Linked DNA regions of Saccharomyces cerevisiae S288C. The gene in region 3 interacts genetically with the main gene of each other region. Each region holds a gene or a part of one and is shown on either strand. Other genes may lie near its edges.

Region 1 (3,253 bases), on a different chromosome or scaffold from region 3:
TGACTATTTGCGTGTTCATTTAAAGAAAAACCTCAGTATGGATAGAGACACTAAATTAGCTTTTAGGCTGAGGGGCAGTCATTCAAGAAGGACAGACGATATAGATGATGATGTTATTGTATTTAAGACGCCAAATGCTGTTTATAGAGAGGAGAACTCACCTATTCAATCTCCTGTTCAACCCATTTTGTCTTCACCAAAACTTGCGAATTCTTTCGAGTTTCCTATTACCACTAATAACGTAAATGCGCAGGACCGTCATGAACATGGGTATCAGCCCTTGGATGCAGAAGACTATCCCATGATCGACTCTGAAAATAAAAGTCTTATAAGCGAATCGCCGCAAAATGTTAGAAATGATGAAGACCTTACTACTCGTTACAATTTCGATGATATACCCATTAGACAGCTATCATCGTCTATCACTTCTGTGACCACAATTGATGTTTTATCTTCTTTATTCATAAACTTATTTGAAAATGATTTGATTCCGCAAGCTTTGAAGGATTTCAATAAAAGTGATGATGATCAATTTAGGAAACTATTGTACAAATTAGATCTGCGACTCTTTCAAACGATATCAGACCAAATGACCAGAGACTTGAAAGACATATTAGATATCAACGTGTCGAATAATGAGCTCTGCTACCAACTGAAGCAGGTACTTGCTCGAAAAGAAGATTTGAACCAGCAGATAATATCGGTACGAAATGAAATTCAAGAGTTGAAAGCCGGTAAAGACTGGCATGACTTACAAAATGAACAAGCCAAACTGAACGACAAAGTGAAGCTAAATAAGAGGCTAAATGATTTGACTTCTACTTTGCTAGGCAAATACGAGGGAGATCGCAAAATTATGAGCCAAGATAGCGAGGACGATTCAATACGGGATGACTCAAATATTCTGGATATTGCACATTTCGTAGACTTGATGGATCCATATAACGGACTTCTGAAAAAGATAAATAAAATTAATGAAAATCTTTCTAACGAATTACAACCAAGTCTATAGGGAATTGGTTCAAAAGATGTATATATATATATATATATATATATATGTATGTATATATGTATATATGTATATATGTATTACTTCCATACTAAGGAAGTTGTGTTATAAGGTCATTTTTATGTGGTAGACATACTTCATAGATATGCACAAATCTCTCTTTTTTTTTCCTGTTGTCGCTATTAGCTTATCAAATTTGCATCATTTTCAAGTAACGCTGTGACCATTCTGTAGAAGTAGAAAAAGAATATGAGAAGGTAAAATCCCAATTTTAAAAAGCATTCAATTTTGCATCTACCCAATTTTCTGAAAATATCCGTGGCGTCCAGTAGATGTGTTTTCTTGTAGACTTTACTTGCGTTATATGCTAGAACAGGGACATTCAAGAGAAATACGAACCAGTACCCGTTAAAAAGAAACAATGCAGAAATGAAAGCTTGTAGAATTGCCTCTGGTACACTCAACCTATTCACCCTCTTACACAGTTCGATTGAGTTGATATAGTCTGCTTCAAGATCACCATATAATATAGTAAAGTATATCTGGCAAATGGAATTCAAACAATTCAGTATAAGACCCGTCACGAATAGCGATAATCCGGTTCCTGACATCTTTACTCTTGGCTTCGAACTTCTTGGTGCCTGCAGTTAGTTTTATCTTTAGTAAAAAATGATAATGAAAGTGCTTATATGAATAAAGGTATTAATGTCTTCGTATTTAGCAATGTAATTGAAAAATCATTCGTGGCCCACGACAATATTTCCAAATTATCACAGCTTTCGATAGAAGTGAACGATTTTGAATTAGAGAGAGTAGTAGTGAGCTAGACGTACTGTGTTTTGAGAATTGAAGTTTGTATAGCAAAACTATACTATCATAATGCAACATTCAAGAAAAATAATGGTATAGAAACAAAAAATAACTCCGATACGGGGAGTCGAACCCCGGTCTCCACGGTGAAAGCGTGATGTGATAGCCGTTACACTATATCGGATAATAACTTATGTTTGATTTAACCTTAAAGATTTTCTATGTCAAGTTTAAACTGGAGGGCTTTCTATTGCCGAACAATCCTAGCTAAAGGCTTTTTTCCCTATTTACAGAAGAAAATGTAATGACTGAAGATTTTGAAAGGTCTCGTTTGATGGCTAGCAGGCTACACCTAGAATTACCCAATTCCAAAGGTTGGTCATCATAGGAAAACAACCAGCATGAACCTTACCCTAGTTCTCTTGCTACTATTTCACATCATCAGGTGATGTCAACTCAGCTTATTGTCAGTGACGACGGATTAGCATTGATACCTGATGTCATTTTAACACGTGTGTTGGATGGGATCCTATACACACCCAAAGAAGATGATTTTTACAACGACACCACCACCATGTATTATGTTTTTGCCACCTGGGGTGATCAAAGTTGGTCATCCTTCGGTTATGATAATACAGCAAGCCTGCAAGAGCACGAAAGATATGTTTTCTAACTTCTTGCCGAGCAGGGAATATTGGGGATTTGGACCGTTGGAATAAATGGGTCCTCAATATTGACAGGAGTCGGTTTTGGAATGAGAATTAACTATCATTTAGTGATGGTAATCCTATTACTAGAATATTATCAGATACAATGTTAGAGGACAATAGGAATACATAAAATAGAAGAAATAATGATGGCATTACATCGAAATATCGATTACACTATATCTTGGAGGAGAACTTTTTATTTTATTTTGTATATCTGATGCTATAGCCTCTAACAATAAGTTAATCCCAACAACTATCTCAATATTCATATAATCGTCTGAGAGATTGATAACAGCTAGTAATGTAGCTAACAGTCAAAAGATAATAAATGATTCATCTTCCAACAGCTTGCGGGGAAAGTTTTTCACACTAATGTGCGGTGTTGTTTTCCTTAACAGGCTCTGAGCAAAATATGGAGAGAGAGGTCTCATTTACTTTGCCATTCTTCATTTAAGCTTGAGGCTTGTTCTACTGAAATGTTAAGTTCTCAGAAGCCAACTTTGGATCAAAGGGCTTTGTTAGTAGCAAAACGCTATTTCTATTGATTTTGATTATTTTTCGAAACATTAAGAGCACAATGTATATTAATTTTCCCTGATGAATAGTTAAGATGATTAGATGGGCTAGGCGCTTAAAAATGAGAAACAGGTGAAATTTGAGATAAATGTTGATTTCGTTGTTGCTAAAGGCTATAATATCAGGTATACAAAATATACTGGAAATA
Region 2 (3,544 bases), on a different chromosome or scaffold from region 3:
CAATTCCACCGAATCAAGGTTGACTTGGTTATCTATATTGATTATCATTATCATTGCCGTTATAAGTATTGCCCAAGTTCTACTTATTCAATTCCTCTTCACTGGTCGTCAAAAAAATTACGTTTAAGAACTTTTCAATCTACGAAAAATATATGTCCGCAATATAGAACACAATTAGGTTTATATTCGACGTGATTTTTTTTTCTTCCTTAGCCCTATGTATATTTACTGTATAGGATAAATGAAATACCAAAAATAAAAAAGTATAAAACGAAAGAATATAACCCTCGTTTATATCTGGTCATTTGTCTTGCTCATTTGTTAGCATTTAAACTTGCTAATACGAAACTCAATGTAAAGAATACTTTAAAACCCATGTATTCTGTACCCAATAACCCATCAATAAGCAGTTTCTTCAAGTCTACATCTTTCAAAACAATTACAGATTTGATATTTTTCAAATTAATGCGAATCCATCCCTTGTACCGTAACCATTCACAAAGAAGCATGCTTGTAATACCGACATACATAAACAAAATTGATATCTTAGCCACCGTAACTCCTAAAACAACACCGAATAATGATCCCAAAAACATCTGCTTGTGACTACTTATTTTGTTCCTCCTTTCCTCGGTAATTGCCGTACTGTTGCCCACAGTTGGTTCCAAGGGACCCTGTTGTTTGACAGCTGCCCCTAAAGAATCATTGAATATCAACTTAGAAGGCTGGCGATTCATCAAGTAAAAGCCACCAGCAACTATGCCAGCACCGCCTAACCCTACAGAGCGAGTTAAGGGCTTTCCTAATTTATTGGCGACATTAAACCTCCATAAGGGGACGTTCTTGAACATGCGCTTCCCAACATTCAAATTACGAAACACCAACCGTTGCATATTAAAAGCCAAAGTCATTTTACACCTATTATTTTAAGTTCTTCCTTCTTGCCCCTCTAGCGTTATGCTGTTGTATGTATAATAAGATGCCTTGTTTAACCAATTTCAACAACCCCTAGGTTTTCTAGCACTTGTTGGAAAACTTAAATATGAAATGACGGATTTGTAAAATTTTCACGACACAACAGCTTCACTTCTAATAATGTATAAAATATAATTTATGTGTGAACATAGATGGTTACAATTTTACATAGGTAAATATGACCTCTTATTCGAAGGAAGAAGCCCTCCAACTCTTTCATTCTGATTTAGGTCGGAGTTCGTGCGCTTGTTTGCGTCTTCTAGCACCTTCCCTGGCCCAAAACTCGTCTCTATAAATCTCCCATCCTTCTCTAATCTCTGCACTAAATGCTCTGGGGTTGAGGACTAATTTCACATCCACAGCTCCGATCCTCGGTTGGGATTGTATCGTGACACTTTTCCAAAATTTCACAATGGCATTATCGTCTTTAAGCCACAGAAATTTTTTCAAACAATAAATATTACAATAAGCAATTGTTCGACTCACAAATCTTACTGAATCTGTGTATTTCTCGTCCCACGTAGACTGTACTTTAACTAGCTTCACATTAAACTGCCTAATCCCTTTATTAGTAGAGGTAAAAAATCTTCTTGGAATGACGATAGTTCTTCTATATTGTCCACTGATATGAAAAAGAACTACAGTAATGGAAATGAAAGAAAGAGTGAATTGCAAAATAACCCTATGGAGGCCCTTGACATAATCTGAAGTGAAATAAAGTTCGTAGAAGGTAAATGCGCCTACACCGGCCATAGACGCTAAGAACAAAGTGAATTGCCACTTCAGTATCTTTTGTTCGTGAGCTTGGCGTCTTAAATCATCCTCCAGTATCAACAAATTCCTGAAAATCATCGATGCTGGAGAGATATTACTGGAGTTCCGTATATTCTTCGCACTGGATGTCTTGCTAGTAGAACGCCTGCGAGGCCCGGACACTATACTGGCACTATCATCCTGGGCATGGTTCCCCACATCGCCTATGCTCTCTGGCTCCATGACCTCCTTTATTTAGCTTTCCACTACCTTTCTTCCTTTGTGTGTATAATCAATAGATTTTCGCTAAATTTCGCATCTTCCCTTTTAAGAATAATTAGTATTTAATTTTACTTTGACTTTATTGTTGAGTGAAGAAACAAAGCAAATATACGTTAGGAAAAAGACACGAACAGAGAAGACCGATCTTGATGCTACCCTATATGGACCAAGTACTAAGGGCATTTTATCAGAGCACCCATTGGAGTACGCAAAATAGCTACGAGGATATAACGGCCACATCGAGAACATTATTAGATTTCCGAATTCCCTCAGCAATACACCTGCAAATTTCCAACAAATCTACTCCCAATACATTCAATTCTTTAGATTTTTCTACGAGGTCCAGGATAAATGGTTCTCTGAGTTATTTATACTCCGATGCACAGCAATTGGAGAAATTCATGCGCAACTCTACTGATATCCCATTACAAGATGCCACCGAAACATACAGACAATTGCAACCAAACCTCAATTTCAGTGTTAGTAGTGCGAATACGTTGAGTAGTGACAACACCACAGTCGACAATGACAAGAAATTACTACATGACTCGAAATTTGTTAAAAAATCCCTTTATTATGGTAGAATGTACTACCCCAGCTCTGATTTAGAAGCAATGATAATAAAACGACTAAGTCCACAAACCCAATTTATGCTTAAGGGTGTCAGTAGTTTCAAAGAAAGCTTAAACGTTTTAACGTGCTATTTTCAAAGAGATTCTCACCGCAATTTACAGGAGTGGATATTTTCCACCAGTGATCTATTATGTGGTTATAGAGTATTACACAATTTCCTTACCACGCCTTCCAAGTTTAACACCTCACTGTACAATAATTCTTCGTTGTCGCTTGGTGCTGAATTTTGGTTAGGGTTAGTAAGTTTAAGCCCCGGTTGTTCGACAACTTTAAGATATTACACACATTCTACAAACACAGGACGACCACTAACTTTGACATTATCTTGGAATCCATTATTCGGCCATATATCCTCCACATATTCGGCCAAGACAGGGACAAATTCTACTTTTTGCGCGAAGTATGATTTTAATCTTTATTCGATTGAATCAAATCTTTCATTTGGGTGCGAATTTTGGCAAAAAAAGCATCATTTGCTTGAAACCAATAAAAACAATAATGATAAATTAGAACCAATCTCCGACGAATTGGTTGATATAAATCCAAACAGCAGAGCGACTAAACTACTGCACGAAAATGTACCGGATCTGAATTCAGCTGTTAACGATATTCCTTCTACACTAGATATACCTGTTCACAAACAAAAGCTATTAAATGATTTAACTTATGCATTCTCGTCGTCATTAAGAAAAATCGATGAAGAAAGATCTACCATCGAAAAATTTGATAACAAAATAAATAGTTCCATTTTTACCAGTGTTTGGAAATTAAGCACGTCATTACGTGACAAGACTTTAAAACTATTATGGGAAGGCAAATGGAGGGGATTTTTAATATCTGCCGGGACAGAGCTGGTATTCACTAGAGGCTTTCAAGAAAGTTTATCCGATGATGAAAAGAA
Region 3 (4,500 bases):
TGCCACAGCGTCATCAACACATGCAGCAGCAGCAGCAGCCGCTGCTGCCAACCATTCCACCCAGGAGTCGGGTTTCGATTACGAAGGCCTGATAGATTCCGAACTGCAGAAGAAAAGACTTGACAAATCGTACAGATATTTCAACAATATCAACCGATTGGCCAAGGAGTTCCCCCTAGCTCATCGCCAGAGAGAGGCGGACAAGGTCACCGTTTGGTGTTCCAACGACTATTTAGCACTTTCCAAGCACCCTGAGGTATTGGACGCCATGCATAAAACTATCGACAAGTATGGTTGTGGTGCCGGTGGTACAAGAAACATTGCTGGCCATAACATCCCCACTTTGAATCTGGAAGCCGAATTGGCCACTTTACACAAGAAGGAAGGTGCCTTAGTTTTTTCGTCATGTTACGTAGCCAACGATGCCGTCTTATCCCTACTGGGTCAAAAGATGAAGGACTTGGTGATTTTCTCCGACGAACTCAACCATGCGTCCATGATTGTCGGTATTAAGCATGCTAACGTAAAAAAACACATTTTCAAACATAATGACTTGAACGAATTGGAACAACTGCTCCAGTCATACCCCAAATCCGTTCCTAAACTAATTGCTTTCGAATCAGTATATTCTATGGCCGGTTCAGTGGCCGACATAGAAAAAATTTGCGACTTGGCCGACAAATACGGTGCTTTGACCTTCTTGGATGAAGTACATGCGGTCGGCCTGTACGGCCCTCACGGTGCAGGTGTTGCAGAACATTGTGATTTTGAAAGTCACCGTGCAAGTGGTATTGCTACCCCAAAGACCAATGACAAGGGCGGCGCGAAGACTGTGATGGACCGTGTCGACATGATCACCGGCACTTTAGGTAAGTCTTTCGGTAGCGTAGGTGGCTACGTCGCAGCCTCTAGGAAATTGATCGATTGGTTCAGATCGTTTGCACCTGGTTTCATTTTCACCACGACTTTACCACCTTCAGTTATGGCAGGCGCTACCGCAGCAATTAGATACCAACGTTGCCACATCGACCTAAGAACCTCGCAACAGAAACATACCATGTACGTAAAGAAAGCTTTCCATGAGTTGGGCATTCCAGTTATTCCAAATCCTTCTCATATCGTCCCAGTGTTGATTGGTAATGCTGATTTGGCTAAGCAAGCTTCTGACATCTTAATCAATAAGCATCAAATCTACGTACAAGCTATCAACTTCCCTACGGTTGCTCGCGGTACCGAAAGATTGAGAATTACCCCAACGCCAGGTCACACCAACGATTTATCTGACATCTTAATCAATGCAGTTGATGATGTGTTCAATGAGCTACAGTTACCACGTGTCAGAGACTGGGAAAGCCAAGGTGGCTTATTGGGTGTTGGAGAGAGCGGATTTGTGGAAGAGTCTAACTTATGGACATCAAGCCAACTATCTTTAACTAATGACGACTTGAACCCTAATGTTAGAGACCCCATCGTTAAACAACTAGAGGTTTCTAGTGGTATCAAGCAGTAAAACAACCAATATATGCATGGGCTGAGATAGAGGTACAAGGAATTTGTAAATCAGTAAAAAAAAAAATTAACAGTTTTTTTTTTTCATTTTTTTTTTTTATTCTTATTTATGTATGATACTTTATTATTATTTCTCTTAATTATTTATTTATTTAACTAACACGATGAGCACTTTTAACTGCAATGGTTAAACTGTAGCAATGTTGGTAAAAAAGCAGGGAAAGTTCAAAAATAATTTATGTATTTTTCCTCGGGGGTACAGAAAGTAAAGAGAGAGAAACGTATGAGTATATATAGGCTAATGTAATATGTAGTGGTAAATAAAGAGACAAAAGTTAGCTATTCTTGTTTGAAATGAAAAAAAAAAAGCACTCAAGCGTTGTTTTTTTCCAATTCATTTTGCAAGTTTTTTGTACTTTTCTTCAATTCATTAGACAATTCATCGACGTTAAATTCTTGGGTAGTGGAAGGTTCGTGTTGTGGAACTTCTGGCATAACTTGAGCTGAAGATGTGTAAGCCTTAGACTCTGGTTCCAATGGAACATCAGCGGCCAACTTAGAAGTGCTGGCGGTTTGAGGACCGGCAGTAGAAGACACAGGAGCAGTCTTAGATTTGACCAAGTTGGAAATTGGGCCCAATTTAGATTCAACCTTGTCCAAGTATGGTTTTGTCTTTTCGCAAGCCATTTGAGAAAACTCTTGGGTCTTTTGCTTAGAAATTTCTACACCTTGAGCGACAGTAGCATCAATTTCATGCTTGTAGGAATGGTAGATAACTGGCAAAGTGAAGGTAAAAATGTCAGCAACAAAGACGATGGTCCAGATAGAGAACCAGGAGAAGAATTTGTGTAGTAGAAATAAGGCAACAGCGGTCTTGAAAGTGTGCTTAGGGACTTGAGCGAATACAGTCTTTCTTATGTGGGCTTGGAAGACTGGTAGCTGTTTCAAAGCTTCATCGATATGAGGCTTAATAAAGCCGGCGATATTTGGACATTCTTTAGGACCATACTTGGTGATTAAACCTTGTCCCAAAAAGAGCTTGGATACGAATTCAATAGATCCTGTTGTGAATAAGATAGTGTAGGCAACCTTCAAAAAGAAAGTGATCAAGTTAACTTTTTTCAAAATTAACAAGGCTAACAGAGACCCACCGAAATATTTACCGGTTTGAACAGGGTTCCTCCATAATAGCAAATCGCAATTACAGCTTTTTTGTTGTTGTTGTTGTTGGGCTTGGCTATGTTGAGCTGAGGCGGACATATTTGCGTGTGTGAATATATATTATATATATATACGCTTGCGGGTAGGAAGAAACAATTAAATATTTGGCTTGAGAGTTGAAAAGAAAGAGATCAAGAAAAGGGAATTGTTGAATAAAAATTTGAAAAATGCGAAGTTGAAGTGCCATAGAAGAGAAACAGCCCACACAGGGGAGAAGCCCACTGGAAAGGGGGCACTGACCAACTTTAAATAGGAAACAGAAGATACCACAAGCCAGCGATACAACAGCACCAAACACCGAAAAGAATAGCCAAAGCTGTCCTCTGGTGTTGGAAAAACTGGAAAAAACGCAACTGCGTTGGCTGCTACGGTGAAAAATTTTCCTATGACTTTTTTCACTGCTTGTTCGTGCGAAATTACCGCAAACCCGGTAAAATGTACACGTATCAAGTGATAAACAATTTCGTGTCAAGTGAGCAGAATGGAGCGATTTGGAAAAAAAAAATTTTTATTGTTTTTTCCCCCGGGATTTTGCTCGAGATGACTGAAATTTTGTAATCGATGAGTCTATACCAGAGGCAGCAAATATCACCAACATACACAGGTATACACAATCTCATGTCCACACACACGTACAGACACGCACATATATATATATATATATATATCCCCATAGGTATTTATATATACAAAAGAATCCTCGTGTGTTTGTGTGTGCAATAGCTAGTTTTGCGCTGCCTCTTATAGTAGACAATATCACTTTTTCAATAAAATAGAACTTGCAAGGAAACAAAATTGTATCGCTTCAAGATGCTACGATCAACCACATTTACTCGTTCGTTCCACAGTTCTAGGGCCTGGTTGAAAGGTCAGAACCTAACTGAAAAAATTGTTCAGTCGTATGCGGTCAACCTTCCCGAGGGTAAAGTTGTGCATTCTGGTGACTATGTATCGATCAAGCCGGCACACTGTATGTCCCACGATAATTCGTGGCCTGTAGCTTTGAAATTCATGGGGCTTGGCGCTACCAAGATCAAGAATCCTTCACAGATTGTGACCACTCTGGACCACGATATTCAGAACAAATCAGAGAAAAATTTGACCAAGTACAAGAACATCGAAAATTTTGCTAAGAAACACCATATAGACCACTACCCTGCCGGTAGAGGTATTGGTCATCAAATTATGATTGAGGAGGGCTATGCTTTCCCCTTGAACATGACTGTCGCATCTGACTCGCATTCAAACACCTACGGTGGTCTGGGGTCGCTGGGCACTCCAATAGTGAGAACAGACGCTGCAGCCATATGGGCCACGGGACAGACGTGGTGGCAGATCCCACCAGTGGCTCAGGTTGAGTTGAAAGGTCAATTGCCTCAGGGTGTTTCCGGAAAAGATATCATTGTCGCATTATGTGGGCTTTTCAACAATGATCAAGTTCTAAATCACGCCATTGAATTCACGGGTGACTCTTTGAATGCATTGCCTATCGATCACAGACTCACTATTGCTAACATGACCACCGAGTGGGGGGCTCTTTCTGGTTTGTTCCCCGTGGACAAAACTTTGATCGACTGGTATAAAAACCGTTTGCAAAAGCTGGGCACCAATAATCATCCAAGGATTAATCCAAAGACTATCCGCGCACTAGAAGAAAAGGCGAAGATTCCGAAAGCAGACAAGGATGCACATTATGCCAAGAAACTGATCATCGATCTAGCCACGCTAACTCACTACGTCTCAGGTCCAAATAGTGTTAAGGTCTCCAAC

Evidence for each region. A genetic interaction does not mean that the proteins touch.
Region 1: mutations in RTN1 (region 3) and ERV15 together harm fitness more than expected from each alone (negative genetic interaction), as found in Saccharomyces cerevisiae (2 studies listed by BioGRID).
Region 2: mutations in RTN1 (region 3) and SPO7 are lethal when combined (synthetic lethality), as found in Saccharomyces cerevisiae (2 studies listed by BioGRID, with this or other methods).

What each region holds. Positions count from the first base shown.
Region 1 is NC_001134.8:643,917-647,169, reverse strand, and holds ERV15 (Erv15p), read right to left. Parts: upstream 1,621-3,253; coding exon 1,192-1,620; downstream 1-1,191. Other genes in the region: AME1 (Ame1p), read left to right, coding at 38-1,012.
Region 2 is NC_001133.9:134,281-137,824, reverse strand, and holds SPO7 (Nem1-Spo7 phosphatase regulatory subunit SPO7), read right to left. Parts: upstream 1,972-3,544; coding exon 1,192-1,971; downstream 1-1,191. Other genes in the region: ERP2 (Erp2p), read left to right, coding at 1-127; FUN14 (Fun14p), read right to left, coding at 315-911; MDM10 (Mdm10p), read left to right, coding at 2,160-3,544. UniProt on the Saccharomyces cerevisiae protein: Regulatory component of the NEM1-SPO7 complex which acts as a phosphatase and dephosphorylates the phosphatidic acid phosphohydrolase PAH1. Essential for the formation of a spherical nucleus and meiotic division.
Region 3 is NC_001136.10:927,589-932,088, forward strand, and holds RTN1 (Rtn1p), read right to left. Parts: upstream 2,770-4,500; coding exon 1,882-2,769; downstream 1-1,881. Other genes in the region: HEM1 (5-aminolevulinate synthase), read left to right, coding at 1-1,510; homoaconitate hydratase LYS4, read left to right, coding at 3,541-4,500.